Linked DNA regions of Saccharomyces cerevisiae S288C. The protein of the gene in region 3 interacts with the protein of the main gene of each other region in a biochemical or structural test. Each region holds a gene or a part of one and is shown on either strand. Other genes may lie near its edges. The genes, in order: BFA1, BUB2, TEM1 and CDC15.

What was found.
Region 1: the proteins of TEM1 (region 3) and BFA1 form a complex in vitro, tested with the Saccharomyces cerevisiae proteins (4 studies listed by BioGRID, with this or other methods).
Region 2: the proteins of TEM1 (region 3) and BUB2 form a complex in vitro, tested with the Saccharomyces cerevisiae proteins (4 studies listed by BioGRID, with this or other methods).
Region 4: the proteins of TEM1 (region 3) and CDC15 form a complex in vitro, tested with the Saccharomyces cerevisiae proteins (one study listed by BioGRID).

The regions. Positions count from the first base shown.
Region 1 is NC_001142.9:530,053-538,798, reverse strand, and holds BFA1 (Bfa1p), read right to left. Parts: upstream 4,773-8,746; coding exon 3,048-4,772; downstream 1-3,047. Other genes in the region: HIT1 (Hit1p), read right to left, coding at 1-27; KCH1 (Kch1p), read right to left, coding at 1,250-2,743; UV-damaged DNA-binding protein RAD7, read right to left, coding at 5,040-6,737; OSM1 (fumarate reductase), read right to left, coding at 7,433-8,746. UniProt on the Saccharomyces cerevisiae protein: Part of a checkpoint which monitors spindle integrity and prevents premature exit from mitosis. This cell-cycle arrest depends upon inhibition of the G-protein TEM1 by the BFA1/BUB2 complex.
Region 2 is NC_001145.3:385,601-390,988, forward strand, and holds BUB2 (Bub2p), read right to left. Parts: upstream 1,422-5,388; coding exon 501-1,421; downstream 1-500. Other genes in the region: STV1 (H(+)-transporting V0 sector ATPase subunit a), read left to right, coding at 1-375; ADP/ATP carrier protein AAC1, read right to left, coding at 1,715-2,644; ferroxidase FET3, read left to right, coding at 3,222-5,132. UniProt on the Saccharomyces cerevisiae protein: Part of a checkpoint which monitors spindle integrity and prevents premature exit from mitosis. This cell-cycle arrest depends upon inhibition of the GTP-binding protein TEM1 by the BFA1/BUB2 complex.
Region 3 is NC_001145.3:142,259-150,237, forward strand, and holds TEM1 (Ras family GTPase TEM1), read right to left. Parts: upstream 3,619-7,979; coding exon 2,881-3,618; downstream 1-2,880. Other genes in the region: ORC1 (origin recognition complex subunit 1), read left to right, coding at 1-2,696; 40S ribosomal protein eS1 RPS1B, read left to right, coding at 4,224-4,991; MFT1 (Mft1p), read right to left, coding at 5,247-6,425; DNA helicase PIF1, read right to left, coding at 6,695-7,979.
Region 4 is NC_001133.9:169,708-179,380, forward strand, and holds CDC15 (serine/threonine protein kinase CDC15), read right to left. Parts: upstream 5,429-9,673; coding exon 2,504-5,428; downstream 1-2,503. Other genes in the region: ADE1 (phosphoribosylaminoimidazolesuccinocarboxamide synthase), read left to right, coding at 1-588; serine/threonine protein kinase KIN3, read right to left, coding at 689-1,996; seripauperin PAU7, read right to left, coding at 7,149-7,316; DFP1 (DUP240 family protein), read right to left, coding at 9,574-9,673. UniProt on the Saccharomyces cerevisiae protein: Protein kinase of the mitotic exit network (MEN) essential for late nuclear division in the mitotic cycle. Promotes mitotic exit by phosphorylating DBF2 and directly switching on DBF2 kinase activity.

The DNA.
Region 1 (8,746 bases), on a different chromosome or scaffold from region 3:
GCCACATTTAACTGCACTAGATACCATTTTTATTCTTAGAGTTTTTTATATAATATGAACCTTCAACTAGTTATTACCACTGTGGCACTCTTTCTGCGGTAAGATTATCTCATCGCAAGGTAATATCGTCTGAATTTTTTCTATAAAGAAACGAAAAAAAAAAAATAATCAACGTTCCGTACGGGACTCGAACCCGCAGTCTTCTCCTTAGGAGGGAGACGCGTTACCATTACGCCAACGGAACCAACTTGGTTGAACTCTAAGAAATATGAGGTACCTAAGTTGCATAGTAATATTATTACGAAGCACTTCAAATTGAATGAATAAACTTCGTGCAGAAAACTTACACGATGGAAATCAATATTGTAGAGAATGTGGATTTTGATGTAATTGTTGGGATTCCATTTTTAATAAGGCAATAATATTAGGTATGTAGATATACTAGAAGTTCTCCTCGAGGATTTAGGAATCCATAAAAGGGAATCTGCAATTCTACACAATTCTATAAATATTATTATCATCATTTTATATGTTAATATTCATTGATCCTATTACATTATCAATCCTTGCGTTTCAGCTTCCACTAATTTAGATGACTATTTCTCATCATTTGCGTCATCTTCTAACACCGTATATGATAATATACTAGTAACGTAAATACTAGTTAGTAGATGATAGTTGATTTTTATTCCAACAAATATCCGCCTCATTTTCTACTTTCGCTTAAGCTGCTGTAATGAACCCCTAAGGTAGTACTCATTTAGTAGTATTCATGTTACTAGTATATTATCACATACTGTGTATGAAGATGACATAATATTGAGAAACAAATATCAAATCTATTGGAAGCTGAAATGCAAGGATTGATAAAATAATAGGATAATATGACAAAATATCAAAGAAGGAATAAAAAAAAGATGTTATTATGTTGAACTAGTGACACCCTTTTGTGGATTCCTACATACCCAGAGAGAACTCCTAGTATATTCTGTATACCTAATATTAAGTCTTTACCAACAATGGAATCTCAGCAACTATAAAAAATTAACCTATCTCTTACAAGCAAATGTTAAAAGGGGTTTTCAAAGAAACTTTCATGGCTGTTATGTTTGTGCTATAACCGGTATCAATCCAATATATGAAAATAGTGTTACAAAAAAAGTATTATTTTTATCAGAAACATACTAACGGCTGTTTCTAATCACGTCTATCTAATTCATGAAATATGCAAAGGGCTTTTGCCAGCCTATTAAGTATAATTATATGTACGATCTTCATCTTCCAGCAAACCCTTCCTCGGAAGATCAGGCTCCCTGAAGTACGCTTTCATTGGTGTATAAATCCTTCCATTATCATTCGAGTCAGCTTTTGAATTAATCGAACTTTTTGTCTGTAAAGGAGGTGGTCTAGGTCTACTACTGTTGCTATTAAAATTACGGATGTTGTTTGTTGTATTTGGCATAGAATCTAATGGCCCGTGAAACTCCATAGAAGTTGTAGATTTTAATTGTCCAGCAGAGTGTATTTTGTTGAAAATGTCAGAAGAAGACAAATCCTCATATTTTGGAGTATTTACGCTTCTGCTTTGTATTTTTGCTTTCTTTATATCATTACTTTCATAGCTGTTGATATATGGTGAATCTAGAATCGCAGAGAATCTAGTGGTATATTGTGGATTGCCATTGTCAACGAACGATTCCATTGTTTCCGTTTTCTTCATTGTGGGAATGGGCCCACATACATCCTGACTTTTGTATTCGGGTCTTCTCTCTATTAGCTCAATCATAGAATCATTATTAGAAGCATATGACGTATCATTAAAAGATGTTTCAATTTTATTTTCAACTTCTTTAAAATCGTCAAAAGTCTGAGATTCGAGAAGACCTGTCTTATAAATCGTGTCATCATTTTCCTTTTTCCTTTGTCTTTCAACAAGTTCATCAACATTTTCGCTGACGGTAACACAAATGTACTCACGCAACCCGCTATATTCCTGATCATTGATTATTTTATAATAAACAAAAATCGAGCAAATGACAGCAAGCAGAAACTTGAAGACAAATAATGCCCAGATTATAAAGGAAAATAGCATCAGCGACAATATCACTGCTTCTTCATGATTGGTCTGGCCAATGTTCTTTATTTTGTTGATCAAACCGGTAAATGATTCCAGATCGCCTAGATCCTCGTTTTTATTTACTGTTACGAGAACTGACCACAGCGTAAGACCATTAATAACTTGCCTTGGGGTATCCGTGAAGATTAATCTAATACAATCTTTCAGTTGAAAAAAAGTAAAAAATGTCATTTTCTGTCGAAAACCCTTTCGTTCGATCATATTATAAACACAAAACTTGGAATAATTGAGCACTGAATTTAGGTTTCTGGAAAAATTGTTGACATAAGTCAAAGAGATATTTCCCGTTTTGTAAATCCTCATTCCCGCTATAGCCTCCCATATCAATAGCACAATCGATGCTAAAATACAACCGCTAAACAACCATTTGGATATTTTAAAGGGTAAGTATGGTTTGATGATGTTGTTTGACCAGGAGTTGAATGCCAGCAATTTGATACATGTGTAAATGTCAGAAACAAAAAGGGCGAGTTTTAATCCATTCCACCCAACTACACCTATTATGTAATTTAAAACAGTTTTGAACTTGTGGTTTCGAAATAATTCAATGTTTAAATCGGCGAAAGTCTTAGAATTAATGGAGTACTTCCAATCATGGTTAAACATTTTTGATTTTCTGTTCCTGCTAGTCAAATATTCATGAAATTACCAAAGTGTTTGCTAAACAAACCATAAAGATCTGTTTTAATAATCATCAAGGGCTCTTTTGTTTGAAATGTTAATGTGTCCCTCATGGTCTATTTTCATTTGAAACATCTATTCGAATTTTCTGCAACATTTCTTTTTCTGTCAGACGCGAAATGTCGGCGAAAAGTTGACACGATTCAAGGTTCTATCTAATTTTGGAATGTAAGAGAAATGAATGTACTCAAGATAACGGTAAAGAAACAGTTATAAGAAGGCTAAAGGGCTAATCTTTTGTCGAATTGATTACCATGTTCCTGATTTCATACATATAGGATTTTCTCTTGCTATTGACCGTACTTTCATCCATGATTGTTTCCTCATCAACACTGATAATGGTCTCATCTCGGGGTATAAACCATGAGGCTAACTTTTTACACCACCTGTTCTCCTCGTGGTAAAATTTTTCCAATGCTCTTGAACTCAAATGGAAAGTAGAGCTTATTTCTGGAGTTTCTGTTGTACCGTTAAGTGTCCTCATTGAATGGTATTTACGGAGTCTTGCTTGAGCAGCCGTACTTTGATAAACGCCATCATTGTCATTTGAAACAAATGGCGTATTAACTTGGCTTTTGGAACGCAAAAATGGTGAGGAGCTACGTTTTTTCATACTTTTGCCAACTGGTGGTAAGTTTATCTCAGGAATGCCTGCAAAAGGGTCTGCTTCTTCCTCTGAAACACTAACCCATCTTAAATTTTGTTCATCTAAAATCATGTTCCCGATGACCTTTTGATTTCTCGAAGTGGCTCTTGCATGCTGTAGATCAGAATATTTTTGCTTCTTAGAATCTGCATCTCGTTGTAGCTTGTTTTTTATCAATAAAGCTTTCCTGTTTGCCGTGTCTACATCACTAAATTTGCTTAAGACGTTTTCATTTCCTTCCCACTTCATAGTTTTCGGGTTATATATCATAGAACCTTTCTTCATTGGAGTATTATGATCAATTTGCTGTTTTATTGTTTTGATTTTAGCTGGACCATTGAGTTGTACATTTTGATTAGAACAGTGTCTTACTGATCGTTTTTCTTTAAAAGAGTCCAGTTCCTGCTGGGTATTCCAATCTCGTTGTCGCCTATGAAGACCTGGAGTTAATAATTCGTCATGCTTTACTATATCATATTGTGCAGGTGATATTTTTAATGGCAAAGATGAGGATGACTTCTTTAAGAAACGCGGATGGTCGGCACTTTCTTTATCGTTCGAAGAAATCGTTTCATCAATTGCTTCACCCTCTAATTCTTCAAATCCTGTCAGAAAGTCACCTTCATCATCTGAACTGAATTTCGCCAAAATTGTGTCCTGCGTATCGTTATCAATCTTGTAATTAAACTCTCGTTGATCTTCTCTTTCTCGTTCTTCGTCCTCTTCTTCTTCTCTGATAGCTGGATTAACTAAAGCTAAGTTAGGCATAGATTTCTTAAATCTTACAGAATTACCAGACCTTAAGTTTCTTGAAGTGACGCTATTTGATAGTTTTCTTTTTGGTTTCAATTCCATCATTGATCTAGGTTGCTTTAGCCTTGGTTTATCTTCCAAACTCAGTTTTCTATCAAACTCTTCTGCGAAAATGTCGTTTTTGAAAGGGCCAGTTCGACATCCATTTCTCAAATGAAAATTTGTTTTAATAGCATCGTCAAAATCATCCTTTTTATTTTGGAATTCCTGGAAGTCATTTAGAAATTCATCATCCTGGTCTACCTCCATGTCCTGATCATCGTCTGCTTGCTTATTAGACCAAAACGCGCTGGTACTATTGGAAAATACCGTGCCAGTGTCAGAAGTACCTACCGAGGATGGAGGCGGTATATAAGTTGATGTACTCAATGGTGGCACGTTTTCTTCCAAAGTTAATGTTTCATGGGATTGAAAGCGAGGTAGAGTTGTATTCAGTTCTTCAAAAGAGGTTTCTGGCTCATCTAAACCGTTTAACGTGAGAGGCCTAATTGACATAGCATACAAAACTTTCAACTGCTACAAAAGTTTTCGAACTTTTTTCTTTACGTCAAACTTCTCGTTTTTTTCCTTTTATCTGCGCTGAATACATAAGTTTACACTTTTTTTTTTACTATTATTGTTTGTTTATTATTCGCGAGATGCCATAAAATCCCTTCAATAGAAAATAAAGGCAACATTTGACGATCTGAGTATAATAGGAATAAAAACATTAGTCAATTTTCCGTTTTCTATCTAATACACGTTTTATATGTCTTTATTTTATTATATACTGTCACTCTGTCTCCCTATCAACGTAAGTCCAGGCCTCATTGTGGCCTTTTCAGTAACCAAATTGTCTCCGAAAACATCAATTACAGTTAAATTCGGATTTTGCTCACCCAACATTTGAATCACCGAGTCATCAACACAACGTACAAAACCAAGATCAAGATACGTCAGATTAGGACAGGCTAACGCCACAAATGCCTCCTTAGTTAGCTCTTTTAATGAATTGAGATTTAAGCTTCTCAGACTATCTCTTGCTCCGTTAAGCAATAGCTCTATAATTGCCATATCGCCCAATTGTAGACATCTTCTAAAGCTGCATTCAATCAAATTATTCAGTTCTACTTTGCTGAAAAAGTACGACAGTGAATCTGTAGTGATCTGATCTGATTCTTCCAAGCTCAATACCTCCAATGGACATTTCTCAGGAATGAATGCAGTCAGACCATTGATTATCATTGAATCTGTCAAGTCAATACAGCCATTCAAAACCAATTTACGTAACGTGCGCCCGATTTGACCTAGCAGATTTATGATGATCTCATCGTTAACATCCTCTTCATTGAATGGATATTCAATACAGAGACTGTGAAATTCGTCGTTGACTAGGTACTGCGGTAATAAAGCGTAATTTGATATAGAATCTAGTCTGGATAACCCTAAGGATACCAAGGTAGAACCGCAGTTGATCAATAAATTAGATAATGATTTGTCGGTGAAGCGGTGCGTATTAGAAATGTGGAACTCTTCTAATCTACCTTTCATTATTACAAAGAACTTCTCCCATGTGTCCTCGTTGATCAGAAATGGTCCATCTAAATTCAGTGATTTCAAGTTCGGAAGCTTTTCAGCAATGTAAAGCAATGATTCATGGTTCAACTGCCCACACATTTGTAGGGATAATTCGGTTAGGTGTGGCGAAAAAATGGCTAGCGTTTTGTAACCATCAAATGAAATTTTAGAACAATCGCTGAAAGTTAACCTTTTTAGATCTGTCTTCAAGAAAAGTTGCAGAGTATGATCATTCAGGGCCCTATTCTTCGATAGTGCTTTTGCCAAATTATTCAAATTAGCGGTTGATACGCCACCAAGGACATCTCTCAATTTGTTAAATACCAACTTTGATGATTCATCAGCCTCTTTTTGCCACTTGGATATATTTTCACTAATTTTCGTAATACAAAGACTTTGTAAGCTGGATACTTTGTTGACGCGTCTATCCAATAGGTCAGCTGCTCTTTTACGCTTTCTGCGACGATTTTGGATAATTTTTGCAGTATTTTGCCTTTTTTTAGTCAATGATTCCCGGTCATTAGCCGAACTTAAACTGACTGGCGTGTCAGAAATGTGGCTAGTTTCATATTCTTCTTCATCACTATCAGCAGGGACTAATTTCATCCTGGCATCGTAGGAAACCTGAGCTCTTTCTGTCTCGGTACCACTACCTGTTCCAATTTCATCAATTTCTTCATCTTCAACTACTCGAGATATCTCGGCAGTAAAGCTATCATCCTCCGCTTTACCTTTTTTTTCGTCTGTTGCATCTTCTTGCTTCTTCGACTGTCGCTGGTACCATTTTTGTTTGATATTTTCAGCACTGATCCCTTCTTCTCTTAAAAATTGAGTCAAGGCAGAATTTGGTCCCTTAACTTCATTTTCTCCACCTCTTTTTGGTCGGTTTCTACTGCGATACATTTCTTCCCCTCTCGTGATTTCTAGATAATAGCTTATACAAAGACACTTCGGAGTTACTCTAGGACTATTTCAGTTTTTTTTCACTAACTTCGTCCCAATCCTTTATTCCATTTTTGCTTCCATAAATAAGTTTTCTTATTTTCCAGAAAAAAAGAAAAGAAACTGCGCAAGCCCGGAATCGAACCGGGGGCCCAACGATGGCAACGTTGGATTTTACCACTAAACCACTTGCGCTCACTAATTGTTAAACGTGTCAATTATGTGTACAGTTACAAAATAATGAAGCACAAGAGACCCTACTATTACGTTAACATAATTTACTGCGCAAGAAGATAATATGAATCGTGTAGAAAAGTCATTCAGTTTGTTAGAAGAGGGAACATTGACATTGATAATGTAAAAGGATAGGCAATGGTGACACTTCAACGCAAAGAAGAAATTGCAGTATTATCGTGTAGAATCATGCTCTCTCTTGTAGATTCCTATATCGTCGGGGAGAAACCTCTACCATATTCTGTAAACCTAATACTATAGCTTTTCCCAACAAGATATATTCTTCATTTGGAACTCCAAAGAAAAGAAAAAATCGTATATCGTTACGGAAAGAAATAGCAAACAGTATATCCTATCATGTCGCATTAATTATTGAAATGTAAAGTACGTTGCAAAAATATCTTTTATTTCCCTATAAATTCTCAGTACAATTTTGCTATGTTATCCGCAGCTGTCTTTCCAAAGACAACACACTCTAACAAACTAGATCCACCCAATCTGTTGGCTCCATGAACACCACCCGAAACTTCACCAGCAGCAAATATCCCATTAGATAGAACGCTTTCCGAATTTTTCTTAATTACCTGAGATTTCTCATTAATTTTCACACCACCCATTGTGAAATGAACAACTGGTGTAACTTCCCCAACATAAACAGTTGATTCAGTCGAAATATCTTTATCAAAGGCATTGATAATCAATGGCCTATCAAACGTATCCTTAGTATTAACATCGGAATAGCTCTTCAGTTCAGTTACCAGTTCAGAAGCTGTAGTTTGTAGGTCATATTGTCGGATCAGATCGTTGATTGACACTTTTTTGATTAAGTTTTTGGACATATAAAAGTTTATGTTATTCGTATAGTTCTCGTAGACTTTGTCGCTCATTACCAAAAGTGCTCTATTATCATTTTTCGGACATTTAGACTGTATTTCCATGGTTACTGTATCTCTGGTGCTCAATTCATTTGTAAACCTTCTTCCAGTGGTGGGATGCAATAAGATGCCGCCTAAACCCCTCAATGCCTCTGCAGCCAAAAACTTCCAGTTATTTTCACGGTCATTTGGATCAATGAAGCCGGTAGGGTGTACCTGCACTTGATCCATATCAATCAATTCGGCACCCAACTTTGAAAGGATTTTTTGACCATCACCTGTAGTCTGTTTGCCATTAGTAGTTGGCAAGTGAATCAAATTTGGTGAGTACTCTTTCAACATTTCCTTAGAGTAACCAAATCCACCTGAGCAAAACACGACATGGTGTGACTTCATGATTTTACGGTTTCCGTTCTCGTCCATATATACTACACCAGTAACATGACCTTGATTATCAAGCTCGATATCCACTACTTCACTGTTTAGCATAATCTGCACGAGATTGGAATCTTTGGAAGAGATATCCTTTAGTTTTTTTGATAACGCTTGCACGATTTCAAAACCTGGTGGTAATTTGCCAGAAGATCTATGGGTCCTTGGAACAGAGTGACCGCCCAATTGCGCAAGGAGGTCTAATTTCAAATCGAATTCTGTTTGCAACCACCTGATAGCACTCTTGGATTCCTTAGTCAACTTATCCATCAGTGATGGAACCCCTCTGCCTTTAGCCGAATGCAAAGTATCTTTCAAAAACAATTCGGGAGTGTCCATTACCTTTAAATTTTGTTGAGTGTCTGTGTGAGCACCATTAATACCACTAGAAGCCTTTATAGAATTCCCACCAATAGAAGCCGCCTTATC
Region 2 (5,388 bases), 240 kb from region 3:
AATTTCGGCGATGTCATGATTCATCAGGTAATCCATACTATTGAATTCTGTTTAAATTGTATCTCTCATACAGCATCATATCTACGTCTTTGGGCACTATCGTTGGCGCATGCGCAATTATCTAGTGTTTTATGGGATATGACAATTTCAAACGCTTTCAGTTCTAAAAACTCAGGGTCGCCTTTGGCTGTCATGAAGGTGGTTTTCTTATTTGCTATGTGGTTTGTTTTAACCGTTTGTATCCTAGTTTTCATGGAAGGTACTTCCGCAATGTTGCATGCGCTACGTTTGCATTGGGTGGAGGCAATGTCCAAATTTTTTGAAGGTGAAGGATATGCGTACGAGCCATTTTCATTTCGTGCAATAATAGAATAATAACCTTAAATTACTGTAAATTTTCTCATCTACCCACTGCTTTTTTCGTTTTATTTTTTTTTACACATACAGACATATAAACGTTGTAGAATTAAACGATAAAATATAATATTTCTTCACATAGTTTACGGTATATATATGTCTGGGTCGGTCAAGTGGTCTACCAATAGGTCATAAATTTGAGCAGGGATCTTAGCGATGAACCCGACGCCCAGCCGAATGATCTCGTCAGCATCAAAATCCGGAAACTGTCGTAGTAAATTAACAGGGGAATCCGATTTGAAAACCTTGGATCTCATTTTAACTAGGAATGCCACCACAAAGAGAATATTCATATGGAATCCATATGCAAACATGAAATCCCACAGTTTAATGACCTGATCAAGCGGTTTATTGCAGCTGGATAACGTGAGTATGGAAGGCATACCATAAATCTCTGCTGTAAGTAAATTGTCCGATAGAAATTTACTCAGCTTTGGATCAATGATTCTGAGAGAAATATCTAGTAGTTTGGCGCCGTTCTGGGCGCCGTTTAGGTTCTTAGTTAGATACGTCGGTATCATTTCATAACAAAGCTTAGTGAAAAGTTGATACGCCATAGGTTCAGAAGGACATGAGTAAAGCAGAGGAGCTAATAACACGTTCATGCCCTGCACATATGTGCTCACAGGAATGCGACCAAAACGAGTCTTTTGTCTTCTTTGTTGTGTTTGCCAAGCAAAGCACGACAGACACCGGATGAGGGCATCCTCTGAGACTCTATTTCTAAAGTTTGGATCCGTCTGAAAAGTTCTGGATGTGTCGTTCTTGATTTTTTGGTAAATGGTTGTGGAAGGTGGGCCCAGTTTCAAGAGCGCAAGGTACCGTTGTGTAGACGCCTCCATAGAAGTTTGAGAGAGCACCGTCCACACGTAACATCGCGTGCGCTGCTGCTGTTTATCTTCAGATATGGGAAGCCCTTCACTGAGTATGAGGTAGCGAAGTTGAGAGAGTGAGGAATGCAGTAGCAGGGGAGGATTTGATATCAGATCTTCAATTGAGGTCATGCAAAAGTTAACAAGTTTAAAAGTCTGTTGTTTCTTTTACCTTTACGTCGTTACTATTATTACTATTATTATCATTTTTTTTTTTTTTTTTTTCAATGTTTAGCTTGGCGTACGTAAACGGTTCCCTTCCGCACGGCGTTTACTGAATTGTCAGGACATAAATTCAAAGAAGAAAGAAGACCTCCAGTGTCATTATAGCATAAGACAGGTATGTAGCAAGAATGAATATGTAAATAAATAGCAAGAATATGTAGAATTTTTAGATTTTATTCGTTTGTTGTTTTCTTTTTTTTTCACTTGAATTTTTTGCCAAACATTATGAGTTGCAACTGATCGTACAATGAGATGACACCAGCTGCAGCGACTCCTCTAAATATGTTGGCACCACAGCCCTTGAACAAGGAATACGCGCCCTCTTTCTGAACAATCTTTCTCAAACAGTCCAGAGCACCGTCGTACTTGATGGTCTGGCCCGAAGTCATCATCATCCTTCTTCTTACCGTATCCAAGGGATACGACGCAGTGGAAGCACCCATGGTAATGACCCAACCTAATAGGAAAGAGGCAACAAAGGACCCCTCTAGAGCCCCCGTCAACAGCACAGGCTTGAAAGAATCGTACAAGCCAAAGTACAGACCTCTGTAGACAATGATACCCAGAACTGAGGGCACAAACCCACGGTACAGACCCAACAACCCGTCCGTTTTCAGTGTCTTCTTATACACGTCTAGCAATCCATTAAACTGTCTTTGCGAGGTTGACTTAGAACCCCTAGCATCCGCTGCAAGCCGCGTCCTTGCGTAGTCCAAGGAATATACAAATAGAAGCGACAAACCACCAGCCGCTCCACCAGAGAAAAGATTTCCAGCAAACCACTTGGCATACCCATCGCGCTCTCTGTCGTAACTCAACAACGACTTAATTTTGTCTTTGAAGGCAAAATTCAGCGCCTGCGTGGGGAAATACCGGAGAACATTGGCGGTGTTACCCCTCCAGAACGACACAATACCTTCATGAGTCGCAGTCCTCTTGAAGCAATCTAAAATTCCCTTGTACCGTGTATCCAACGAGCCCTGTTTAAGCATCTCTTCTTGATTCTGCATCAACAGTTTCACCCGTTCAATGGGAGCGGCACCCGTCTTCGCAATGGCAGCAGAAACGCCGCCCATAAGGAAGTCCACACCGAAGTGTGACTGCTGAGTCTGTGTTTCTGTGTGAGACATTACTGCTGTAAAAAGGAAAAATAGAAAAGAATAACAGATACGAGAATCTGTGCTGCCTTCTTTGCGATAATGCCTTGGCTTGCCTATTTCACGGTTACAGGAATAATAACATGTTCATACCGTTTCAGGACCAATAAATGGTCTTCTGCGAGAGAAAAAGGACACTCTCCGTCCGACAGAAATAAGCTTTACTTTCCGGGTGCGAATCAGCCCGTTGCGCCTGGGGTGGTCCCTACAGTACGCTGAGTCGCCGATAAAGACCCTCCGCCTAGAGCTAGGCGAGGCTGACTTAGGCAGGCCCAACAGGCAAGGCCCATCTTCAAAAGTGCACCCATTTGCAGGTGCTCTTATTCTCGCCAATTGCGACAGAAAATGAAGGATGCACTCAAACAGTCGATCCTTCGAGGGAGTATGCCAAGGCCTCGTGCATGTAGTGCGATTATATATATATATATATATATATATATATGTATGTAAGCAGGCCATGCCCTATAGCTCTTGTTCTATAAGCGATGGATAGGCATAGGAAACGAAGAGGACCCCAGTGTAAGGAAGAGTAGCAAAAAATTAGAACTAGATGACTAACGCTTTGCTCTCTATAGCCGTTTTGCTTTTCTCGATGCTCTCGCTAGCACAAGCGGAGACGCACACGTTTAATTGGACCACTGGCTGGGACTACAGGAACGTTGATGGGCTAAAGAGCCGTCCCGTGATCACCTGTAATGGCCAGTTCCCATGGCCAGATATAACGGTCAACAAAGGTGACCGTGTGCAGATTTACTTGACCAACGGAATGAACAACACCAATACTTCTATGCATTTCCACGGTCTCTTCCAAAACGGAACCGCCTCTATGGACGGTGTGCCCTTCTTGACGCAATGTCCAATTGCGCCAGGCAGTACTATGCTTTACAATTTCACGGTGGACTACAATGTAGGCACCTACTGGTACCATTCACACACGGACGGTCAATATGAAGACGGGATGAAAGGTCTTTTCATCATCAAGGATGATAGCTTCCCCTACGATTACGATGAGGAACTTTCTTTATCGCTTAGTGAGTGGTACCACGACTTGGTCACGGACTTGACGAAGTCGTTCATGAGTGTTTATAATCCGACAGGTGCTGAGCCCATCCCACAGAACTTGATTGTTAACAACACGATGAATCTGACATGGGAAGTCCAGCCCGATACGACGTATCTTTTGAGAATTGTCAACGTGGGTGGGTTCGTTTCGCAGTACTTTTGGATCGAGGACCACGAAATGACCGTGGTCGAAATCGACGGTATCACTACCGAGAAGAACGTAACGGATATGCTTTACATCACTGTCGCTCAGAGATATACAGTCCTGGTTCACACTAAAAACGACACGGACAAAAATTTCGCCATCATGCAGAAATTTGATGACACCATGTTGGATGTCATTCCAAGTGATTTACAGCTGAATGCAACCTCTTATATGGTCTACAACAAAACCGCTGCGCTGCCCACACAAAATTACGTGGATTCAATTGATAACTTCTTGGACGATTTCTACTTGCAACCGTACGAGAAAGAAGCCATCTATGGCGAGCCAGATCATGTGATTACCGTTGACGTTGTTATGGATAACTTGAAAAACGGTGTGAATTACGCCTTCTTCAATAATATCACCTATACTGCACCAAAAGTTCCTACTTTGATGACCGTTTTGTCTTCAGGTGATCAAGCAAACAACTCCGAAATCTACGGTTCAAACACGCACACTTTCATCCTAGAGAAGGATGAAATCGTGGAGATTGTGCTAAATAACCAGGACACAGGTACCCATCCTTTCCATTTACATGGTCACGCTTTCCAAACCATCCAGAGAGATCGTACATATGATGATGCCCTAGGTGAAGTTCCTCACAGTTTCGATCCGGACAACCACCCTGCCTTCCCAGAATACCCAATGAGAAGAGATACTTTATACGTTAGACCACAATCCAATTTCGTCATCAGGTTTAAAGCCGATAACCCAGGTGTTTGGTTCTTCCATTGTCATATCGAATGGCATTTGTTGCAAGGTTTGGGTCTTGTTCTCGTGGAGGATCCTTTTGGTATCCAAGATGCTCATTCTCAACAACTCAGTGAAAACCACTTAGAAGTTTGCCAGAGTTGCTCTGTGGCCACTGAAGGTAACGCCGCTGCCAATACACTGGATTTAACTGATTTAACTGGTGAAAATGTTCAGCATGCCTTCATTCCTACCGGTTTTACCAAAAAAGGTATTATTGCCATGACATTCTCCTGCTTTGCCGGTATTCTTGGTATTATCACAATTGCAATTTATGGTATGATGGATATGGAAGATGCGACCGAAAAGGTTATTCGAGACTTGCACGTGGACCCTGAAGTCTTGCTAAATGAGGTTGATGAAAATGAAGAGCGTCAGGTAAACGAAGATCGTCATTCCACTGAAAAGCATCAATTTTTAACTAAAGCCAAACGGTTCTTCTAATAAAGGAAGATCATGTATTTTGCGGTTAACCTGTTTTTTTTTTTTCGGTCAAGGGTTCCAAATGCATTTGCATGTAAAGTGAATGCCCTTGTCTTACTTAATATTACATAGACATATACTTAATAATCTACCACGTTTCAAATTCAATAATGCATGCTTCTTGGCGGTTTTTGACATGAGATCCTCATCTGTCACGAGGCTGATGTGCATACTTTTACTTTTAATCGATGACATGATCAGTTTCTTTTGAACAAAA
Region 3 (7,979 bases):
ATGAGCAGGGAAATATAATCGATGGAGGTCAGAAGAGATTACGCCGAAGAGGTGCAAAAACTGAACATTACTTAAAGAGAAGTTCTGATGGAATTAAACTAGGTCGTGGTGATAGTGTAGTCATGCACAACGAAGCCGCTGGGACTTACTCCGTTTATATGATCCAGGAGTTGAGACTTAATACATTAAATAATGTTGTCGAACTCTGGGCTCTCACCTATTTACGATGGTTTGAAGTCAATCCTTTAGCTCATTATAGGCAGTTTAATCCTGACGCTAACATTTTGAATCGTCCTTTAAATTATTACAATAAACTGTTTTCTGAAACTGCAAATAAAAATGAACTGTATCTCACTGCAGAATTAGCCGAATTGCAGCTATTTAACTTTATCAGGGTTGCCAACGTAATGGATGGAAGCAAATGGGAAGTATTGAAAGGAAATGTCGATCCAGAAAGAGACTTTACAGTTCGTTATATTTGTGAGCCGACTGGGGAGAAATTTGTGGACATTAATATTGAGGATGTCAAAGCTTACATAAAGAAAGTGGAGCCAAGGGAAGCCCAGGAATATTTGAAAGATTTAACACTTCCATCAAAGAAGAAAGAGATCAAAAGAGGTCCTCAAAAGAAAGATAAGGCTACTCAAACGGCACAAATTTCAGACGCAGAAACAAGAGCTACAGATATAACGGATAATGAGGACGGTAATGAAGATGAATCATCTGATTATGAAAGTCCGTCAGATATCGACGTTAGCGAGGATATGGACAGCGGTGAAATATCCGCAGATGAGCTTGAGGAAGAAGAAGACGAAGAAGAAGACGAAGACGAAGAAGAGAAAGAAGCTAGGCATACAAATTCACCAAGGAAAAGAGGCCGTAAGATAAAACTAGGTAAAGATGATATTGACGCTTCTGTACAACCTCCCCCCAAAAAAAGAGGTCGTAAACCTAAAGATCCTAGTAAACCGCGTCAGATGCTATTGATATCTTCATGCCGTGCAAATAATACTCCTGTGATTAGGAAATTTACAAAAAAGAATGTTGCTAGGGCGAAAAAGAAATATACCCCGTTTTCGAAAAGATTTAAATCTATAGCTGCAATACCAGATTTAACTTCATTACCTGAATTTTACGGAAATTCTTCGGAATTGATGGCATCAAGGTTTGAAAACAAATTAAAAACAACCCAAAAGCATCAGATTGTAGAAACAATTTTTTCTAAAGTCAAAAAACAGTTGAACTCTTCGTATGTCAAAGAAGAAATATTGAAGTCTGCAAATTTCCAAGATTATTTACCGGCTAGGGAGAATGAATTCGCCTCAATTTATTTAAGTGCATATAGTGCCATTGAGTCCGACTCCGCTACTACTATATACGTGGCTGGTACGCCTGGTGTAGGGAAAACTTTAACCGTAAGGGAAGTCGTAAAGGAACTACTATCGTCTTCTGCACAACGAGAAATACCAGACTTTCTTTATGTGGAAATAAATGGATTGAAAATGGTAAAACCCACAGACTGTTACGAAACTTTATGGAACAAAGTGTCAGGAGAAAGGTTAACATGGGCAGCTTCAATGGAGTCACTAGAGTTTTACTTTAAAAGAGTTCCAAAAAATAAGAAGAAAACCATTGTAGTCTTGTTGGACGAACTCGATGCCATGGTAACGAAATCTCAAGATATTATGTACAATTTTTTCAATTGGACTACTTACGAAAATGCCAAACTTATTGTCATTGCAGTAGCCAATACAATGGACTTACCAGAACGTCAGCTAGGCAATAAGATTACTTCAAGAATTGGGTTTACCAGAATTATGTTCACTGGGTATACGCACGAAGAGCTAAAAAATATCATTGATTTAAGACTGAAGGGGTTGAACGACTCATTTTTCTATGTTGATACAAAAACTGGCAATGCTATTTTGATTGATGCGGCTGGAAACGACACTACAGTTAAGCAAACGTTGCCTGAAGACGTGAGGAAAGTTCGCTTAAGAATGAGTGCTGATGCCATTGAAATAGCTTCGAGAAAAGTAGCAAGTGTTAGTGGTGATGCAAGAAGAGCATTGAAGGTTTGTAAAAGAGCAGCTGAAATTGCTGAAAAACACTATATGGCTAAGCATGGTTATGGATATGATGGAAAGACGGTTATTGAAGATGAAAATGAGGAGCAAATATACGATGATGAAGACAAGGATCTTATTGAAAGTAACAAAGCCAAAGACGATAATGATGACGATGATGACAATGATGGGGTACAAACAGTTCACATCACGCACGTTATGAAAGCCTTAAACGAAACTTTAAATTCTCATGTAATTACGTTTATGACGCGACTTTCATTTACAGCAAAACTGTTTATTTATGCATTATTAAACTTGATGAAAAAGAACGGATCTCAAGAGCAAGAACTGGGCGATATTGTCGATGAAATCAAGTTACTTATTGAAGTAAATGGCAGTAATAAGTTTGTCATGGAGATAGCCAAAACATTGTTCCAACAGGGAAGTGATAATATTTCTGAACAATTGAGAATTATATCATGGGATTTCGTTCTCAATCAGTTACTTGACGCGGGAATATTGTTTAAACAAACTATGAAGAACGATAGAATATGTTGTGTCAAGCTAAATATATCAGTAGAAGAAGCCAAAAGAGCCATGAATGAGGATGAGACATTGAGAAATTTATAGATTCGGTTTTTATTATTCATGACCTAGCATACACATACATATACCTACATAGTAGCGCATTTATCCAAAACATACGATATTGTGGATGTACATACCTTCTATATCTCCTTAAAGCTATTGTGTAGCTTGATTTAAAATATGCTAACGCCAACTCTCACATGGTAGCAGGCGGGTATAGTTGTTTTCATGTATTAACGCCCGGCGATGGTGCCTTAGATGAGGGCGACGAGGAGGGCTTCCTGATATTATGGCTCTTTCTATCCTGACTTTTGTTATGATGTCGATGTTGCTGGCCACCTAGGTGCTTATATATCAAAAGAGGATCGCCGATTTCATTGATTTCTGGGATGGTTAATGTCAAATTAAAGATCTTTGCCAGTGCAATTTTGAAAATTTTTTGAATGTTTATAGATTTGGCAGTAGAGCAGAATATAAGAGGAGCATTCATGACCTGTGCATACTTCATACTCGTTCTCGAGATTTGTTCCTGATATTCCGGGTCTAAGTCTATTAGTAAATCGTACTTTGTGCCCACCAAAATAGGAATTGCCGAATCATTTAGCCCGTACGCCTGCCTATACCACTCCTTTATTGAACTCAACGTCTCTGGACGTGTCAGGTCAAACAGAAATATGATCACTGAAGACCCTACCGTCGCAATTGGGAGCATGTTGATGAATTCTCTTTGTCCGCCTAAATCCATTATAGAAAATATAATATCCGTGGAGCGTATGCTTACTTTTCTTTTCAAAAAGTTCACTCCCAGCGTCTGTGTGTATTCCTTATCGTATATGTTCTGTACGTACTTCACCATCAGCGATGTTTTCCCTACTTGTGCATCCCCTACTAATCCAACCTGAACTTCAACCTGATTTCGTACCGCAGGTATAGAATTGTTTGCTCCCGTGCTTGGTGTAGCCATCTTAGCTTAACTCAATTTAATTTCTACAGCAAAATCCAAACGTAATATCTATATTTTTCTCGAAAAACTGAGGACAAGAGCCAATCAATCATCTATAATCCAATTTATATTATTTTTTCCCTTCTGGGTTCTTTTCTTCCTTTTCTTGTTTACCTTTTTTGCTTTTTCATAAAATAATTTCTCTAGATTTGAAGACAGCATTTTTGTACATCCATACACCATACACCATACACCATAGCACCAGTACACTATATTTTTATGAATTTTACTAAGAATTATTCCTGCAGGAGCTCCACTGAAAAAAAAAGAGCAGCATGGATGTCCGGTAGAAGTGCTACTGAGTAAATGGGAAGGACGCGGTAGATCCAGTGTGGAATCAAGGTGGTGCCGGTGTGAAGCCGCCTCGGCCGGCTGGACTCTCCAGGCCGGAGTGATGATTGCCACGCTGAACGTAACACAGTTTCACAATACCAGTGTCCTCATTAGTGAGTTCCAATGTATAGTTAGTAGTGGTATTTTGATATATGTGAGTGGTAGCAGATTTGAACTTAGTTAGTTGTATTCGCCTTTGAGGAAACCAAGCAAAAAACCGATCTAGACTAATCATGGCTGTTGGTAAGAATAAGAGACTATCCAGAGGTAAGAAGGGTTTGAAGAAGAAGGTCGTTGACCCATTTACCAGAAAGGAATGGTTCGATATTAAAGCCCCATCCACTTTTGAAAACAGAAATGTTGGTAAGACTTTAGTTAACAAGTCCACTGGTTTGAAGAATGCTTCCGATGCTTTGAAGGGTAGAGTTGTCGAAGTTTGTTTGGCTGACTTGCAAGGTTCTGAAGACCATTCTTTCAGAAAGGTCAAGTTGAGAGTCGATGAAGTTCAAGGTAAGAACTTGTTGACCAACTTCCACGGTATGGACTTCACTACCGACAAATTGAGATCAATGGTCAGAAAATGGCAAACTTTGATCGAAGCTAATGTTACCGTTAAGACTTCCGATGATTACGTTTTGAGAATCTTTGCTATTGCCTTCACCAGAAAGCAAGCTAACCAAGTTAAGAGACACTCTTACGCTCAATCTTCCCACATCAGAGCTATCAGAAAAGTTATTTCTGAAATCTTGACCAGAGAAGTTCAAAACTCTACTTTGGCTCAATTGACCTCCAAATTGATTCCAGAAGTTATCAACAAGGAAATCGAAAATGCTACCAAGGACATCTTCCCACTACAAAACATCCACGTTAGAAAGGTTAAGTTATTGAAACAACCAAAGTTCGACGTTGGTGCTTTGATGGCTTTGCATGGTGAAGGTTCCGGTGAAGAAAAGGGTAAGAAGGTTTCTGGTTTCAAGGATGAAGTCTTGGAAACTGTGTAAACAAAATAAATATAAATTATAAGATTTGACATGTACACAATTTATTAATATGTTTTCTCTTTATTATTAATATAATTAATTATTACTAAAAAAAAGAAGGTGACGCACCATACAGAACTTGCTCTTTTGTCCAATACTGTCTTTTTATGGTTGTTATTTTTTACGTTACCGATTTCGGTTTCTATTGAACTGTAATAACTTGCCTATGTGTCTATATGCCTTTTCTATTTAGTAAGAGCTATGCATTATACGTGGTCATTTTACTTCTTCAACAGAGGAAGACGCACTAAAATCGCTTGTAGTGCCTCCAAGTTTCCTGCTTGAGTGATCGCTATCTGCCTCCTCTGCGTCATTAACCGCATCTGGCTCTTCTATCACTCCAGTTTCTTTGTCTGTTTCCTCATTATTACCCTGGCGACTATTATCTTCTTGTTGACTGCTTTCCCCATCAACTTCATTATCCTCTTTTATATCCTCAACGTCTACTTCCATATCATCTTCCTCTTCATTTTCTTCATCCTCCTGATCGTCATATTCATGATCGCTTTCCTCTTTTTCGTCCACATTTTCTATAGTATTCACTTCCACCATTGATCTCTGCCTTTTAAACCTCTCTTTTCTTTCCTCATCTTCATCCGATTCATAATCTTCATCAATGTTATCTCCTTCTGCCTCATTGAGCAGGCCATCTCTCTTCAGAAGTTCTTCTTTGAATATTGATGTGATCTTGCCAAATATTTCTGCATCTCTTAGCCACTTCTCTTTGTAAGACGATACCTCCTGCCTTACGTTTTCTATATCCGATTTCATTGAGGCGTTGATACTTTCTAACTCTTTTGGGCCCTTAGAGAAATCGTCATAAATACGATATCTCTCCTCTGAACTATCCTTTTTCAGGCCCGGATCAACTAGTTTGAGATAATTCTTTTCAATTAAAAACTTGACCAGATCAGTGCCAAGTTCTTTCTCCCATTCCGCACGTGTCACCACAAGGCTGGTACGGCCTTCTGACAAGCCTTCCACCTCTCTGTTAATTACTTGGACAGAATCGTAAAGACCTTGTAGTTTTCCAATACGTAAAAGCAACTTGCTATGGATGCTCTTTATATCAGGCAATTTATCTTTGAGATTTTCCAGCTTGGCCAATGTCTCCTGTTGGCATGTTTCCCAATTTTCGTCTGCTACTTTCTTTGTGTCAATTGATGACTGCAGATCCAAAAATCGAAGATGAGCACTTTCTTTTAGTTGGGAGATATTTTGCTCAGTAAGTTTTTCAATCTTGCTATCATCATTGGATAATGTGCCATTTATAATGCTTCCTGTCAGCTTGGTTACTTTTCCTAAGATGTCTAAATATTTATTGAATGGAGTATCTACTTCACTGTAGTGCACTTTGGTTCTAACTTGGTCTATTTGTTTTTGTGACAGAGGCATTGTGAGTTAGTCTCCTTTGGCTTTAGTTCTTTGATTCCTTTTTTACAGCCAGTTGTTGTATTTTACTTTAATTTAGATAATGTTTCACTTTTTTCTATCGAAGGAGGTTCACCAAAATAATAGAATGAACAAAGCGCAAGAAAGAAAGATAAAAAGGTGTCAAAGAACCAATATCAAAATAAATACAGATAAAACCGCGGAACTATGTATCTCGGCCTTGATTATTATAGCAGTTTGTATTCTATATAACTATGTGTATTAATATGTACTTATTCTAAGATGTGGTCTTCGGTATCCTGACCACGAGGTTCGTCGGAAACCAATGAATGAACTTGATTACTATTAGACTCTTTTTTCAACTGAAATCTCTTCCTACTGTGTCTTTGCAACATCGCTGCGATACCATTATTAGATTGTGTGGTCGCTGATATGGGTGCTGGAGAATTTGACTTTGACTTGGATTTAGCCTTATATTTAGGGCCTGGTGCGTAGTCTAACTTCCTTTTTTTCACTTGCTCATCTGCCTCAAGTTGCTTATAGGCACTTTCGGCTGAAGATAAAGTAAGATAAAAATCAATTACCTTTTGATGTGCTTTGATCCTAGTTCTGTCAAAATTTAACACCTGTAGTCCTTCTCTTGAAACAGCTCTAGAAAGGGCAACGTACGCCTGACCCTTTTCGAATACTCTACGTAAATCCACTTTAACTTTTGGAAGTGTCTGACCCTGAGATTTGTGAATGGATAGTGACCAGGCAAGCATTAGCGGTAATTGAACCCTTGATACCAGTGGCTTTTCATTTTCGTCTTCTATCGCCCAATCCTCCGGCTCGACAAGCACCATCCTCGTACTCATATCAGAAGCTTTGAATCTCACGAGAGGTAACCTTCGTTTTCCTGCAGAGTTTTGATGTATGGTCTGCATCAGTTGTTCCTTGCGTTTTATATTTTCCAGCACAACTTCGTCATCTGTCTTGACTCTCTTCATGAAGTCAAAAACTGAGGAATCTAGGGGAGAGACCGGCTCACCTATATCACTCTTAGCAAATCCCTCCTTCACTGAAGATTTGCGACTAGCTACCGCACTTTCTTCCCCATCACTTTGCTCCCTCTCCATTGCAGCTTTTAGTTTTGAAGGGTTTTCTGCCCAAGTCTCGAGTTTTTCTGGAGGCATAGATGGATCGTTTGTTAGCGCCTCATAGCAAAAATATGTTTCTGGATCCATGAATTCGATGACTTTACCAAGGGATCCATTAACTAATGTTGCGTCTAGATTTTTTACCATCATAACCTGAGCGCCAACTTTCAAATGTAATTCCTTTGGAGCTAAAAAATTTTGTAACAGCCTTTCCTTTAACTCTTCGTCTTCCAAAGCACCGCCATCGATTGCATTAAAAATATGCACCTGGCCTGGCAATTTACTTAGCCTTGAATTATTGGCCCTTTCTACTTCCATTCTGGTACTATAAAGTTCCGCGGGAATAATTTCATCGTCTGGCAATGGTCTAGAAAGCTTCTTGAACTCTCTTTCTGTTTCATCATCAATATTGCCTAGT
Region 4 (9,673 bases), on a different chromosome or scaffold from region 3:
CATAAACTAATTCCATTGGAAGTAATTGTCAGAGGCTACATCACCGGATCTGCTTGGAAAGAGTACGTAAAAACAGGTACTGTGCATGGTTTGAAACAACCTCAAGGACTTAAAGAATCTCAAGAGTTCCCAGAACCAATCTTCACCCCATCGACCAAGGCTGAACAAGGTGAACATGACGAAAACATCTCTCCTGCCCAGGCCGCTGAGCTGGTGGGTGAAGATTTGTCACGTAGAGTGGCAGAACTGGCTGTAAAACTGTACTCCAAGTGCAAAGATTATGCTAAGGAGAAGGGCATCATCATCGCAGACACTAAATTCGAATTCGGTATTGACGAAAAGACCAATGAAATTATTCTAGTGGACGAGGTGCTAACGCCAGACTCCTCTAGATTCTGGAACGGTGCCTCTTATAAGGTAGGAGAATCCCAAGATTCTTACGATAAGCAATTTTTAAGAGACTGGCTTACTGCTAATAAGTTGAACGGTGTTAACGGCGTCAAAATGCCCCAAGACATTGTCGACAGGACAAGGGCCAAATATATAGAGGCTTATGAAACATTGACAGGGTCTAAATGGTCTCACTAACGTGATTTACATATACTACAAGTCGCCAGTGTAACTCCTCACTGAATATGATTCATACATACCCGTATGTATTAATGTATAAATGTTCTCAGAGCAAATTTTATCGATATCTTGTTTGCCAGTGGTATGCAGGTTTGGCAAATTTTTTACCATAATATCCGTTTATAGATTCTGGAACCTTACCAACTTTCTTACCGCTAATTACTTCCCTGGCTCGCTCCTCCACTGCCTGGGTAAATTGTTCCTTCAACTGACTCAGTTCTCTTTCGTATTCAATAGCTTGCTTCTCGAGGATTTTTTCAATGTTTGTCAGCTCATTTTCATAGTCCAGTAACTTCCTTTCAAATCTCTCTAATTGCAACGACTTTCTTGCAGTTCGTATCTGAATATCTTGCAGTAATTCAAAAGTGGAAGGCCTGGTTCTTAAGTTCACATCTATCATTGAATGTATTATGGCATTAAGCCCTCTAGAGTAATACTCAGGGACGGTGTCACATTTCCCGTTTTTAATCTTAGTTTGTAGCTCGAGATAATTTTTTGCCTGAAATGGGGGGTGCAACGAACACATCTCAAAAATAACACAACCTAGTGACCAGATGTCGGATAGTGGGGAGTATGGTTGGTCCATCAACACTTCAGGCGACATGTAATATGGTGTACCGACGTATGTTGTGGCAAATTGAATACTAGTTTCCAGAGATTTGGCTAACCCAAAATCACCTAACTTTACCACAACTTGACTATAGTCCATAGGGCTCCCCCTTTTCCCTGAATTCACTCTATGGTCTCTGTAATAATTACTATTCACTTCCTCGTGACCGTCTACTTGTTCATTAATATTGTAATCGCTATCATCATAGCTTAAGAATATATTTCCTGGTTTCAGATCACGATGGATAACGATGTTTTTGCCTTTTACCGGTGGTTTCATCCGGTCATATATTGTGGTCAAAGTTGGCAATTCAACACCATAATGACATTTATAGAGCGCAGTCAATAATTGGGCCAGGATACCCCACACAATTTTTTCTGGTATATATTTATGCTCCTGTTTGTAGTGCTTAATCATCTGGGATAAATCACCCCTGGAACAATATTCCATATAAAGGTATAACACTTCTTTTTGTTCATCGAAGTCCCAGTTATAAAATTCTACAATATTTTCATGCTTCAACTGCGATAGAATGCTACATTCAGCGATCAGCTGTTGTCTCTCTTTGCTATTCATATGGCCATATTTGATATCCTTTCTAACCAAAAGTTTCTTGGTAGGTATATGGATGACTTTTCGTACAGACCCAAATGAACCTCTCCCAATTTCTTCGAGAACTTGGTATTCTGACCTTGGTGGGTGTCCCTGCTGCTGCTGAGGACTACGGTATTCTTGGAAAAACTGTCGTCTATGCATACTCACACAGAGAATTGATTCAATTATCAAATAGCACTCTCATTGAAATTAGTATTGTGAATCTTGCTCTTTTCATGTTATATGATTTGATATTCTTTTGAAAAGTCGCTTTTATTTACGTTTAACCTAATTAGGAAACGTAATGAAAAAATTCAGAAACCTTAAAAAAAAAACTTGGCTGTAACCTATCGGAAGACTGTGCCACTGCAATCATGTCAGATATCGTATTTCAGATTTATTGATCTATAGCTAGAAACATTTAACAAAATGCACTTTGAGTCGTTCATACATTTAATCCCCAATTGAAAAAAAAAAGAAAAGAAAAAAAGCATATATATGTATATGCTTTTTTATCATTACTGGCCTCTTTAAATTCAAAAACTTTTCTGATCTCTTTTCCAAACAGATGCGTTTTCAGTATTGGAAGGTTCACAATTCTATATATAGTGTTAATGTAATGCTGTATTATTTCTCTATATATGTATGTATGCACATGCAATTCCTACATTATGTTTGAAATGTTGTAATGGGGACGGAAAAGCCGTCACTTTTATCTTTGGAGGATCGCAAATTACTACGCTCATCTTTTGTTGGAGAACTACCAATTGCTGCAGTGACGCTTGAAACTTTTTGCAGGCTTCCTTTTTTTGATAATGAACGGATATCCTCACATAGCTGACAGATCAAAACTGAGTCCCCCCCAACTTGATTTGAATTCCTTTTTGGGACATCCTTGTTCCAGTTGTTGTTTAAAAACTCCGTTATTTGTACTAAAATGGCACGAAGTTTGAAAACAGTGGCCTTATTACGACGATTTGGTTCGGTTTGCTTTATAGGATCCGGCTGTCCTGTGTAGTCATATAGCTTCAATAACGATTTTGAGAATATTAGCTTTATGAATTTCAATAGATCGATTTGAATAAGTAAACTGTTGAAATAGGTATCAAAGAAAGAAACAATCTTTTCATAAAAGTTCGGGTGAAATATGATATTAATTGTAAGGTTTTCAAAACCGGGCAATGAGCATATCTTCGTGAAAATGCTAATTAGTTTACTGAGGTTAACGTCATCGTCATTCAATGCATAAAACAGGTCAACTAATTGATCAATCGGTAATTCAATAGCAGCGTCATTGTTGACCTTTATGAGGAAAACACTATGAGACTCTGATGAGCCCACTGTAGGAGCCACATCATCATTTACATTGCGTAACGTAAAATGCAAGCAGTTCAGTATGATCTCCAGTCCACTTATGGAGGTGTTATTCTTTTTTCTGATGAAATTCATAGCTGTAGAAAATAAAGAAGCACTCATTTGGTCCATATCCAAACTCATTTCAACGCATATAGCAGTGATTTGTTTCCAAATGAAAGCTGCTGTCTTTGCGTCGTCGATAAAGGGAATGATGGTATCAATATTCCGGATAAAAGCAAAAAAAGCATCGTTGTCAAGCAGATCATTTAAAAAAGTGCTGTTTATATGTACTGTAAGGTAACAAAGCTTGGTGAAGTACTTTAAAACAGATAAATCTTTGATTTGGGCCATGTCAACAAAAAAAGATGTTAGCCAGGTAAAGAAACCCTCCGGTAATTCAATTAGTAGTCTTGATTTTGAAGATATGGTCAGATGGGGAAAGTTTGAAATGCTCTTGTGTCGCATTGGAGAAGAGGGACGCGTTGCCATCAAAGAATGAACAGGGGACCTTGATGGAGACTGTACCGAATTCACTGGTGAGTTCCTCGTGGGTGAGGAGGATAACGGTAGAGAGGAAGAAGAAGGAATAGCGGACTTGTGTATTTTATCGTCATTCGTGGTTATCATATAGTTTATTGATTTGAAGACTACGTAAGTAATTTGAGGACTGATTAAAATTTTCTTTTTTAGCTTAGAGTCAATTAAAGAGGGCAAAATTTTCTCAAAAGACCATGGTGCATATGACGATAGCTTTAGTAGTATGGATTGGGCTCTTCTTTCATGGATGTTATTCAGAAGGAGTGATATATCGAGGTGTTTGAAACACCAGCGACACCAGAAGGCTGTGGATGTTAAATCGTAGAACCTATAGACGAGTTCTAAAATATACTTTGGGGTTTTCAGCGATGCAAAATTCGGAGGATACATTATTCCACATTCAATTAAAGTCTGAGGGTAGTCGATGACGAACTCTTTGGCTAAATGTTCGAATTTAATGATCAGTGGAATTCCTCCCATAGCGATGAATTTCAGTCGCAACCTAGAGTGGTTATGCTGGGTATCGTAAACAAAAATGGAGCCAAATGCAGTTATTAATCGTTTATCAACAGTTGTGCGCGACAGACACTCGATAATTGTATCAGCGATGTTCTCGAGGGAGCAAACACTGAAAAGCACATGCAAGTCCGTCAAAGGCTTAGATGAACTCTTCAATTGGCTCAGCAATTGACTTTCAGTGGGGGGCATTAAATCTAGTTCTTGATTGTTTTCTGCCCAGGCAGCGGGAGCCGCTGCAAGACTGAATTTAGAGGGTGATATATTTAGTTTCTCTTCTTGAAAATCGGCATCCCAATGATAATCAGCGTCGGTAAAGTCCTCCTTGAACTTGTTGAGCTTGTCGACCTTCACATTTTCGGTAGAGTTGATCCACACATGCTTGAGTAACTGGTCGGCTGTCGGCCTCTTGTACATGTTTTTCACAAAGCATTTAGATAAGAAATCCTTTAGTGGCTCAGAGAAAGAGCTAGGTGGGTAGTAGGTATCATTTTCAACAGCGTAGTAGATATTGGCGTCTGTCAAATTGTGGTAGGGTGGATTCTTTGTGAGCATTTCAACTACAGTGGCACCTAGAGACCAAATGTCGCTGAGCGTAGAAGCTCCCCTGTTGCCCAGGATCTCTGGAGCCATCCAATTGAGTGTGCCCGCTAGCGTTAAGGCGCTGGAGTTCACAATAGTGGAAACGCCAAAATCAGCAAGTTTGACAGTGTTATCAGCACTCAGCAGGATGTTAGCCGCCTTGATGTCCCTGTGGATGACTCCTTCACCGTGTAAATATTTCAGCCCCAATAGTGTCTGTGTCACATAGGTTTTCGATTCATTTTCACTTAATCCGGTAGAGCTCCTTGAAATGAGCCTCCTCAAAGAACCATTAGCGCAGTATTCGAGGAGGATATACAATTCATAGCTTTTTCGTATGAAGCCGTGGTATTTAACAATATTGTTATGGTTTAAATTTTTTAACAAGCTAATTTCTGCCATAATGTCATTAAGTTCCTCATCATTTTCGTACACGACCTCCTTTATTGCCACGACTTGGTCAGTATGTTTATTAATGGCTTTGTAAACTACCCCGTAAGAACCCCTCCCAATGACCTGCTTCAAGTGGTATTGCACGGATTTCTCAGATGCCCTCTGGATGGGAGTCAAGTTGACTCTATCGGTATCGGCCATACTGTTCATGGTATAGTCTTACCAGGAAAATGGGTAGTGCTTATGTGTGTTTTGTCCTTCCTCGAGCCTCCAAGTAGAAGATATACCTTTTGTGAGGCAGATCTCCCGTATACAAAAATAACAGCAAGAAAAGCGGAAAGACCATCGCAAGGTGGAAAGGATTATAATGGCACAGCAAAGTCCGCACAGAGCACTACAGTATAGCATAGAGTGCTAATGAGTTGATAGGCCCAATTTTGATTATGCCTCTTTTCCATACACGACGCCAGAGGACATTATTACATTACAGTAGTTCGCCGCTAGATGACAAACGACATCCTTACCGATATGAGATGTGCAAAGCTACATAATGGCAACAAGCGTTATGAACAGCCTTGTCTTTACGACCACAGAAAAGCCGTATTAGAGCTCTTCAGCTGCAAAATTTTCTTCTAATATGATGCAAAGCCATCAAAAATCATGCATAGTTATGAAATACCTGATGAAACGCTTCGAGTTCGTGCTCAAGAAATTACTGAAAGGTTACCGAGAAGAAAAATATCTATGAGACACGATAAGGCCCCTTCTGAATCCATTGTCCTGGGCTTGTTCATTCTATTTACCACTTAAAATTGATCCTTTCAAAGGAATTTTTTTCTATTTCCAATAGTATATTTGTACAAAAACTACAAAAATGGATAAAAAATAACAGTAATTTGTGACTACTGTAAATATCACTGATTTGGATTTTGTAATGAGTACTGCTCATGCCCATGCCGATGCAAGTGGATCATAAATTTTACTAAACGATATTCGATAATGCGCCAAGCCTTTATAAGGAACTCAAAATAACCCATATGGACAGTTTCAGAAGGCCAAATAACGATCAAGGACATTCACTCATGTTTTTCAAAGGCGAAGAGTGTAAAATTTTCTTCTATATAGTTCGAATATTTTATCTTATAAATTTCAGTCGTCATTTTCCACATTCGAACTCAAATAATGATAAAGAACGCTGCAGTAATGGCTTAAAAAAACATACTTTATAACCCATTATCTCTTACGTGTAATTTAAAATTGTTTATAGTACTATTTGGTTATGCTTGTATGCCTCTATTATTTACTTGATCTTTTTATGTTTTCTTATGATTGAATTATTTATATTCTAAATTCCTCACGAATTTATACTGAAGATTTCCTTCCAGGCGAGAATAATAAACACATATTTATGATGATAACAAGACGAACGTGTATTAAGCTCCCAGTACGAGGGAAGCAGTAAAAATTATCCCAAGATCCATTTAAAATGGATAACTCCACGAGCTACAACAAAATACTAAGGGAATAGGCCGTTATTTCCGTAAAGGATGGTTTAATAATAAGAAATTTATAATATTAATAATACATATATACAAAAATTTATATTTATATACATGCGCCTAACTATTCATACTATTAATTTCATATTATTAAGCTTTTTTTTTTTCATTTATCATTTTTTTTCGTAACCTCTCATACCTGTACAGGTTTCATTCGTAAAGCAGGGACTCTAGTTTGCGATAGTGTAGATACCGTCTACGGATAGAGCACTAGAGATAGCTGGCTTTAATCTGCTGGAGTACCATGGAACACCAGTGATAACTCTGGTAACTTGGTCGGCGGGAATACCAGTCAACATGGTGGTGAAATCACCGTAGTTGAAAACAGCTTCTGCAATTTCAACTGGATAAGTTTCAGTTGGGTGAGCAGCTTAGAAAGAGTAGTATTCAGCCAAATGAGCTCTGATATCGGAAACATAAACACCTAATTCAACCAAATTAACTCTTTCGTCAGATTGAGATAATGTAGTGGTTGCTGCGGCGGAGGCACCAGCAGCAATGGCGGCGACACCGGCAGCGATTGAAGTTAATTTGACCATTGTATTTGTTGTTTTTTGGGTTATTGCTTAGTGATGATATAGGCTTAACTGGAAGGAAAAGAACAGAGAAATGTCTCAAACAAAGCTGATCAAGCCGCTGTATTTATATGAAACTTTGAACAACTACATCTGCACACATGGGCTCTTACTGGTCGCCCATCTCACACTCATGCCTTCCACATTCCACTTAGCGACTAAGTCATTATTACTATGGGGACGGGTTGTTCTTGAACGATGCTATACTTCGTATAGGAAGCCGTTTTTTTATGCCCCATCCTTTCATATGTTCCATAGCACAAGAATGTTCTCTACAGGAAAAGTGCCTATAGGGCTGCAGCTGCAGTTTTGGCCAAGAAATAGAACCAAAGCCAAATTTATTTTGGGCCCTCGTTCAAGGGCCATCTCACCCTTGGCACTAAACGGTTAGTAGGAGGGAAATCGGACTTTTCCCAAATTAGAAACAATGAAAAATTAAGTGTGAGCTCTTAGAGTCGCATCTGCAGGAATATGCACACAAAAAGGGGAGCTGTACGTAAATAATCAGACCACACAAACTATTGCCAACCATTTGATACTCACGCTAGATATGATGGGGGTTCTTGTTTGGACAACACAAGTCTCAGAGCCAGCGTAGATATGCTTGTACATAAATGACGACTGGGGCATCAATTGAATCGGGTTACATTGTGCGAGCTATTACATGAAGAGAATATGCCTTTAGGGTAATTTCCAAATGTAGGAAGTCTCGCTAAGTAGGGCGCCCAAATCTGTATAGCGATGTTGTTGAGGCCATATAGTAAAATGACGTGCCAATTACCGAGCTTTTGATGGAGGTAAAATCTAAGATTAATCTTGCGCCTTGAAACCACTAGAAATGAAAGGAATTGGTGAAAAAATAATCGCGCAATAGATGACATGGAACGACAGAAGTCTTGTATTGTGCACGAATCCGCAATATTCAAAGCCGAAGTTCATATACGAATGCGAACTATTTCTTAGGGTAGCTCTCTGTATGGGCCGCCATAAATTAGTACCAAAAGATAGGTTTTTGAAAAGGCTACAATGTGCTTTTTTCCTTCTTGCTTTCGAGTCCGGTGAACAGAATATTACGACGTCCTTGTATTAAGAGCCAGACCTCCTGTTAGCGTCACTATAAGAGTAAGTCTGAAATACGCAACAACTACAGTGCAATGAAAAAGTGCTCAACTCAATGACAATAAACAATTTAACCATGGCAGGTTAAAATATTACTGCGATCAGTAAAAATGGGGATATCACCTTTTGACACATAACATAGCAATAAAGTAACAGATCATTAGTGATCGGACAACCTGAACCAACGATATAATGTCGAAGCCACCACTACCTTTAAGATTAGTAGCGCTGCAGGGGGAGACAATGAGAGAAATTTCCCGCCACATGAACTGAGTCAGGAGTTTTTTTTTTCTTGCTGGAGAATCATTTAATTTCATGGTTAAACTCCTCTATAAGCATCCCATTCTCCCATGCCTGAAAACACTTTTGTCCATTCGATCCTCATGCAGCCCTCGTTAATATGCTAAAATGGCTCATTAAATTGTAGATTGTATCGTTCGAGAAACGTCAGGCATGATAGATGTTGCAATCACAGGACATTGATTATTTAATCCTGCTCTCAACATGTTCAATAAGTTGAAGAGTTGCTGATCTCCCCGTATATCTTATGAACCAAAGCATGGTGGGTGAATGTTATGGTTATCCTTGTTGAAAAATGATTGATAGACTGGATTGAGCGGAAAAACATGGGTCAATATGCTGATCTTGACATTTTTCAAAATCCACGGGGGATCAAATCAACTTCTTATAGCGTATGACCTCTTTTACATTGTTTAATGATGTTAAGATTGCGATATTATAGTCAGTTAAGTTACTCAAACGCACAGATTTAATAGAAAACTGCGTCTTCGTTGCCTAGTCGATCATAATAAATTCGCAGATTATTTCGAATTTGATCTCCTTCGAAATCAAGTTTATTCTCTTCACAACAAAAAATGCTTTTAACTTGAACAAAACTCGTAAACTATTTCCCCACTGTTGCTTCGGGACGACCCAGTTATTCAATATCTTGCAATGCTAATTTTTTTTGGGAGAGCAGTTGCAAATATTGCAAACACATCTAAAGCGTACCCACAATTTATGACTTCCTGGAGCCCAGAACAGCCCAAAAAAAAAAAGATGCGTTCTTTTTATACCAATATATTAGATACGTAAACTCTACTCATATTGCAGGTATGCCCACATCTGGATATTGACTTTGCCAATATTCCCGCACAGCATGGGCTTGAATTTCGGCTGCTTTAAAGAGGCACCACTTTACG